2 linked regions of the Rhinolophus ferrumequinum genome follow. The protein of the gene in region 2 purifies or fractionates together with the protein of the main gene of each other region. This does not show direct contact. Links are inferred from orthologs where the notes say so. Each region holds a gene or a part of one and is shown on either strand. Other genes may lie near its edges. The genes, in order: RMND5A and RANBP10.

Region 1 (3,908 bases), on a different chromosome or scaffold from region 2:
TAGTGGTTATGAATTTATTTTTAACATGTAACTTATACTATCACACCAAACCTATGACTTCACAAATATCGTTGTTTAGAATGAGGACAAATCTACTTAAGTAAAATCATAAATCCATCTGAAAAATAACAGTGCACATGTATGAGTGAAGTTTGAGAAACAGCAGTGCATTATCCAAATTAGGTCAAGGGCACACTGGGAATGAAACAGCATCAACCATACTGAATTTTAAATTAGACCAATTTTCATACTTACAGGGAAACTCTCATTGAAAGCCTGTTACAACTAAATGACAGCAGTGTCTTCTCTTCCCTCAAGTTGGGGAAATTAAGTGAATCTAAAGTTTAATCAAAATGATTAAGGATAAGAATCAGAGCTCAGTACAATCCTTGAACTTCTGGCAAATTAAGCTAAAAAATGGTATTTCTTTCCCAGACCAACACCATCTATGCATCATCTCCGGCCACCAGTAAACATTAATCACTTGACTCTATATCCTCGTTGACCCTTCCCTTTATCTCACATGTCCAAAACCAAATTCACCAGAGCCTTCCCAGGATTCCCAGACCACTCCACCTCCATTCCCCTTCACAGGCAACCACCTAGGTCTGCTAATTTTTCCATATTAATATTTCAACTTCTACCTCCACTATGGTTGCAAGTTTGCTTCTTCCCCGGAGTTCAAAAATGACTGTGAAGTCCAGAATGAGATGATGTTATAAGGCTCCTTTACCATGGACTAGCACTTACTCTCAACTGAAAGCCATCTGGGAAAGGTAGGTGTGGAAGAATGGAGAGAAGAGCGAAGCTCAGCTCCACTGCCTTCATCTCACCTGTCACAAGTATCAGCATTTCACCCCAGCTACCAAATCTTCCTTTACATAAATTTCTGTTCAGCCTACAAGTTTGAAAAGACCCTCTATCAACCTTCTGAATGAACCTATTAAATAAAAAGTCCCCTACTTCTTGATCAAAAGGAATCATCACAATGAATATTTTAATGTAAGGATACCAGACCTTTAATGTCACTTAAAAAAAACAAAAAACCTTCCCAACCAGCTTCCACAAGTTAACTTTGGCAAAGTGTCTGCTCCAGGCTCTAGGGCAAGAATGAAATAACCGAGGTAAAATACCTTCTAAAGGAAACATGGTTTCTAAAAGGAAAACAAGTAAACACTTGACCAATTGAGGCAAGTAACTAACAACTTGCGCCACAATTTGCTTCAGGAAGAATTTCCAATTGTTCCTCAGTCTCATCATAGGCTACACTAGGAGAGCTGACCAGTTTGGTTCAGCTAATTCCCTTGCAATCATGTCAGCGCTGTTGCGGAGTTGAAGAGCTGCTTCCACACAGCAAATTCTGAAGTTGCAGAAGCGACTGTTCTGTTAACCCACAGCTAAGAATAACACTCGACTTTCTAATTTAAAAAAAAAAAAAAAAAAAAAAAAAGGAAAGTCAGTCCCCCGAAAAAGGATTTGAAGCAGGGGAGGAGGAAAGGGCCTCCCGCAGTTATCCTCTTCACCTAGACCCTCCCGGTCGGTCGGGGCAAGGGGCACCCACCCCGGAGGGCGGCGATTTGCAGGTGCGGCGGACCGACCCCCCACGCAGGTTTAACATGGCTGGAGCACGCGGCTCCGGGATAGGTTTCCGGGTGGGATCGCGCTCACTCTTAATTAACAACCAGGTCGGACAGGTTCGAGTCAAATCCAGAAGAGAAGGAAAAGTCACGGGGGTCTGAGGATCTCCGCGCCTCGTGGAGGCGGGAAACGGCCCTCCGAGGGCACCCCTCCCGGCCAGCCATGGCTTCAGGGACGCGGACGGGTGGGCCCGGCCCCGCGCGCCCAACCCGGCCGCCTTACCGTGGCTCTGCAGGATCTCGTGCTTGAGGCCGCCCGTGTAGTCGATGAGCTCCTCCAGGCCGCGCTCGCACAGCTGCCCGTAGCCCGAGAACTTGTGCAGCACCTTCTCTAGCTCGCGCTCCACGGTCACGCACTGATCCATCTCGGAGGCGGCGGCGGCGCTCGGCTCCTCGGCGCCCGGGTGTCCGCAACCGTTCGTCCCGGGCCCGGCCGAGGCCGCGTCCTGCTCCTCGTCCCCCAGGCGGGCGGCGCGGGCTGCTGAAGCGGCGGGCAAGCTAGCCCCGGCGCCGGCGGAGCCCCGTGCAGCCTGTGCCCGCCTGCCCCATGGCGCCCGGCGCCCCGCGCGTTGCGTACGCTCTGGGTTGCTCGCCCCACCGGGCCCCGCGTCCCTGTTCCCCGCTTGCCGCGTTCGGGAGCCAGCGGCCGCGCGGCCGATTGTTTTTGTTTTCACGGGAACCGGCCGATGACCTGGTTCTCCAGGGCGGCACCAAGAGCCGCGGACCCGAGAGGGGAGGAGCCACCCCAGCGAAGGAAGGAGGCGGCGCGGGCCGTACCAAGCGCACCCGCAAGGGGAAGCAGCCCAGCAAGCGCGGGCGGAGGAACGCTGCGGGCGTGCGTTCGCGCCGCCGCTCTAAAGGTGAGGGCCGTACCACGCGAGAGGCGTGTAAGGGAGAGGTGGAGGGTGGAGCAGAGACCCAATTGGTCCGAGGAGCTAAACAGGGAACTTTGGAGGCAGCCCCAGGTCTCAGAGAGCGCTACAACTACGCGCTCCGTAAACAAGAGGGTGGAAACCGTCCCTAACCACTCCTCCCAGAAACCGGGAAAACGAACCAATGGGCGCGGTGCATACGTAAGGGACCAACGTCCTCCAATCCCTGGCCTAGGCGTAAACCTTCAGCCAATCCGAGTCTAGGGGCCAAACCAATAGTCTCGCTGTTGGAGGGGGTGACTTGGAGAGCAAACTGGGAAGCAAGTTATTTCTGGAAAACCGTGCGGAAAAACGAGACAGGAAGGAAAAGGTCTACCTTCCATAGGACTTCGCCCTAGCCATAAATTATCTTATCTCCCTGTCACTCGGGGGTACTGTCATTCCTAAGTTTTGGAACACGGACTCGTCGCCGCGGTGGAAAAACCAAGGCAGGCCGGGCGGGGGTCACTAACGAGAATTAAAGGCGGGTTGAGCTACTTGCTAGTCGAACTGGGCCCGTGTCAGGAAGAGCCCGGCGCGGCCGTCAGTGCTACCTAGACGCCTGCAATACCAGTAGCAGGTCACAGTCCGCGCCGCCTCACCCCCATCACACCTCGCGGGCCTCTGCACTTTGGCGCCTGGTCCTGGAACCTTTCTTGACCGGTTGCTTCACCCAGGTGCCACGTGCTGGCAGTTTCGCGGAATGGAAACCCGTTGCAGAGCCGGATAGCGTGGTCCCTGCCTCTTAGGCGCCTTATTCCATTGATTCGGATTGAGTTTGCATAAATCCTTCCCGACTTGCTGTTGGCGCCTCCAACCTTGACCTGTATACCCTTCCTCACTAAGTTTCATTCAGCTACAGTAACCTTAGTGTTGCTTCAGTAGCCAAGCCAATGTTGCCTGAGGGCCTTTACACTTACCTTTTCCGTTGGCCTGGAAAACTCTTCCACCTTTCTCATCCTAAGTTCTCAGCTCACTTGTCACATCAGAGGGTCCTCCCCTGACTGCACTAATGTAGCCTCTACGTTCCAGCACTCCTTCCTCCATTGCTGTATTAGCTTTATTATGTTATCAATTATAGCACTAGTTTTATTATTTTCTCACCACTTATTAAATCTGATTCGTGTACTTTTCTGTCTGTACATCATCAATAAAAGCTCCACGAAAGCAGGCCCCTGGCCTCTGGTTCTGTGCCCAGAACAGAACATAGTAGGCAACTTTTTTTTTTTTTTTAATAATAAGGCAAAACCTTTTTGAGCCCCAATTTCCTTCTTTATAATTGGAATTAATAGTACTTCATTAGATTCTTAGGAAAATTAAATGAGATAATATATGTAAATGCCCATAATAAGCACATGAT
Region 2 (3,908 bases):
GAGCTTATTTTGCAGTGCCTAGAGGCTACTACATCTCTGAATACAGGCAGGAGCTATCCTGAGGCTGTGGAATGTGCCTGGTCTGCTTAGAATCAGCCAGCAATTTGACAAGCATTTTTGTCATAAGCCAGTGGGTGAAGAGGCGGTTTATACAAGAGCTCAGTTTCAGGAATCTCACATGGCTGGATTTAAATCCTAGCTCCACCACTTACAAATATGTGTAAAATACATGATCTCTCCAGGCGCTTCTATTTCTTCATTTGTAAAATGGTGATATTACTACCTCATAGAGTTGCTGTGAGGATTAAATGTGGTTTGTAAAGCACTTGTCACATAATATACAAACAAGCTGGCTGTTACTACTAATGATGAAGTGCGTCTGTCCTTTTGCTAGCACGTAAAGCCCTCGCTGGGCTGACAAGTCATCCAAGATTCAAACTGTTTTTGTACCACCGATCCTGTGGGGCTGGAGCCCCAGGCCAATGGACACAGTCGGGAGGTGCAGAGGTCCGGATCAAATACCTTTTTTTTTTTTTGGCAGTACTCAAGCCCTCTTCGCCCTCAGCCCGGCCAGCACCTACCTCGACGTAGTCGCGAATCTGCAGCACCGCAGCTTAGGGGAGGCCATGACCCTCTGGCAGCCGGGCAGCCAGCACCCGCCGCCCGGAAAGCTGTGATAGTGTACAGCCCATCGCCATGGCGACCAGGTCCCAGCATCCCAGAGGCGAGGGCGGGGTTAGGTTTTGCCACGCCCCCGAGCCCCGCTCTCGCGAGCTGGGAAGAAGGCCAAGTAGTAAAAGTGGACTCGGACCCCATAGCGGGGTCCTCTCAGAATCAGTCACTACAGAGGATTTGATCCTAGCTACCAGAACCGAGGCAGGGGGATAAACAGGCCATGGGAAGGAAGGTGAAGTGATACGCCGAAGTCGCGTTGCCAGCGGGAATTGTAGTTTTCAGTGGTCTAAAGTCTCGGCCGAACAGACTTATGGATGAGGAGGTTTATACTACATCTCCCAAAGTTCCTTGCCACCCCGAGTTGGCCCGCCTCTGGAGAGCTCTGCATAGTGGGATATGGAGTTCGAAATATGGCGAGGCGTGGCCGTGTCCAAAGAGTGGTGCCGGACTAGGACTCGGTTTCCCTGCGGCCCCGGTAGGCTCGCGGGTCATTGGCTGAGCCGGGCGGATCTGGTCCCGCTCCTCCCCGCCCCCAGTGACACAATAGCAGCTCCCTCCAAGATGGCGGCGGCGACGGCGGACCCGGGAGCTGGGAACCCGCAGGCTGGAGACTCCTCCGGCGGGGGTGCTGGGGGCGTGCTGCCGTCCCCGGGGGAGCAGGAGCTGAGTCGGCGCCTGCAGCGTCTGTACCCCGCAGTCAACCAGCATGAGACGCCGCTGCCGCGCTCCTGGAGCCCCAAGGACAAGTACAACTACATCGGCCTCTCCCAGGGCAACCTCCGCGTCCACTACAAAGGTATTGGCCTGTTTGGCCGCGGGTGGAAAAAGGCCAGAGCGTCTGCGGGGTGGCTGTGTTTCCCAGTCCCTACCTCTTTACGTCCCTTCCCCAGCCCGGGTACTCCGAGTTAGGCCTTAGCCCCTGCGGGTGTTCAGGGTGGTGGGGCTGACCAGGCCAAGAATCGACTGCCTGGTCTGCTCTGCCCTGAGACACCCGATGTCAAGAGAACTGCAACAGGTGTCCAGACCCAGAGTGGGTTGGACCTTTCACCCGAGGGCCTTTCTGCTTGTCCTGGGATAGTTCCAACTCCAGCTGGGCTCTTCTTCACTACTGCTTTGTTTCAGCAGTGTCTGAAGAAAGGGGTGATCACATCTTCTCCATTAACCAGAGACCAATGGTCTGCTCACCCGCCAGACTGGGCCTGGGGTTCTGTGCTAAAGCTGGGGGGCAGGTGTCTTCCACGGCTTCCTCCTCCTCCCCTGGTCTCCCAGGTGGGCTGCCTGTATTTTGGAGAGACTAGCAGCACTGGGGAATCTGTCATATGCACCCACATTGCCTGTACCCTCATTGGGTTTGTATGGGAGACAGAGTCTCAGGCAGGGCTGCTATTCTTAGAAGGTGAGACAGAGGTGGGAGGTTTATGTTTTTGCTTAGCTATTGTCAGATTATTCCTTAGACTATGTAAGGGCTTCCTCTGTCCATGGAGGGGTGAAGTTGCCATGGAGCAGAGAAGAATGAGACCTTCATTTGCATTTCCTTGTGCTGAAATATCTTCCTTGCCCTCTCCAATTTAGGTCATGGCAAAAATCACAAAGATGCGGCCTCAGTGCGTGCCACCCATCCCATACCTGCTGCCTGTGGCATTTATTACTTTGAGGTGAAGATTGTCAGCAAAGGAAGAGATGGGTAAGCCCTTCCTTACCACCTTTCCCTCAACACTAAGCTATTCCCTGTGGTCAGAGTTCGAGATCTCCTGGCTGACACTTGTGACTGATGTGAGCTACTGAGCCATATGGGTCTGGACTGCAGAGGGTTGAATAGTGGGCTGCCTCTGTTACCTGACTGTGAGCATGGCCTGGTCTAAGCAGCAGACCTTGATGCTAAGTAGGTGCATTGGGGATAGAGGAGGGGACTTCTCTTTTGTGATATTGTAATGAGATACCTCGCAGGTCAGGGAAACAAGTAACAAGTTTACATTAACAATTCAGTGTCCAGAATGGGGTTTCCCCCCCACTGATGAATGGTATTTGTGACTTCCCTCCTCTCACATTCTTGCTGTGTTCAAGGTTCCTTTTTATGGCATTTAATCATAAAGAGGCCCCATTAGCCTTCAAAGGGGTAGCAGAGTCTTCCCAGCATTCATCAAAGCTGTGGCAGCCACTGGCCTGTCATCTCAGGGTAAACAACATGCACATGGTCAGAATCAGGTGACCTTGCTGCTCATAAACTTGTTTTTCAGTCCTGGGAGTTGAACACCAGTTGGACCAGCTTTAGGAAGGTCCTCATTAAAGTCAGCGTTATGGAGGGTCCCTGTTTTAGGGTGATCTAAGCAGACGCAGGAAATCAGAGGGGAGATTTTTTTTTTTTCCTTCCTTCTTTCTTATTCCAGTTTCCCCTTTTTCCAGTGATTGTGACAAACCAGGTGTTTAAGTTATGATATAAAATGATTGCAGTTGTCTTAGAAAGGCTTTCCTCATCAGACCGTAGGTCAGGTGTGGGAAGTTTGCCAGCCCCCCCAGTGACCTCCGTGCCAACTTTGCGAATGAGTTCTTGAACATTCAGAATACTTCCTTTCTCCTAGGAACTGTCCGCCTGTGGTGCATGCAGAATGCTCTGCCATGGAGCTGTCCTGGAGGCAGAACTGCCAGAGTTAGAGTTTTACCGGCGTCCTTAGTGACATTGTAACATCCCTGCTAGGGAGCGTTGTGTAATCGTGGGTAGACTGGGGGGCTTCAGTCTCCTCATCTGCCCTGTGGGGAGCTAGGCCAGCATCTAAGCTGCTTCTAACCACAGCATTCTGTGATTCTGAAATTCTGATCATGGCAAGCTATTGTATCTTTCACTTTTATCTCCATCTAGTGCATTTACAGATGGGAAACATATTATTGGAGGGCTTTAAAGCTTCTATTTTCCCTTTCCACCCACTGATAGAAGCACATGTATTTAATGTGCTTTAACTAGTGTGAATGAGAATGGCCTCTTAAACAAAACAAACATGGCAAAAACAGTTACAGTATAGACTGAAATGTTAGTGCTAGAGTCTCATATTGCCAAAGAAAGTGAGGGGCGTTTCTTAAACTTGTAGGGAGGAAAATGGATTGTTTTTTCTATAGTTCTTATAGAAAACAGTTGAGCTAGTGAGAGAGGAGAACAATTTTTCAGAAGGGAGTGTTTAAATGTAGAATCCTGGATTCTTTCAACTGGCATTTAACATTTCAGTTGTAAGTGGATCTTG

What was found.
Region 1: the proteins of RANBP10 (region 2) and RMND5A purify together in Homo sapiens (affinity purification with mass spectrometry; 4 studies listed by BioGRID and IntAct, counting the BioPlex papers as one, with this or other methods). This does not show direct contact. The link is inferred for Rhinolophus ferrumequinum from reciprocal best matches to the Homo sapiens genes RANBP10 and RMND5A.

Annotation. Positions count from the first base shown.
Region 1 is NC_046296.1:7,841,270-7,845,177, forward strand, and holds the start of RMND5A (E3 ubiquitin-protein transferase RMND5A), read right to left. Parts: upstream 2,319-3,908; 5' UTR 2,003-2,318; coding exon 1,861-2,002; intron 1-1,860.
Region 2 is NC_046298.1:17,384,253-17,388,160, reverse strand, and holds the start of RANBP10 (ran-binding protein 10), read left to right. Parts: upstream 1-1,127; 5' UTR 1,128-1,236; coding exon 1,237-1,471; intron 1,472-2,247; coding exon 2,248-2,359; intron 2,360-3,908. UniProt on the Homo sapiens protein: May act as an adapter protein to couple membrane receptors to intracellular signaling pathways.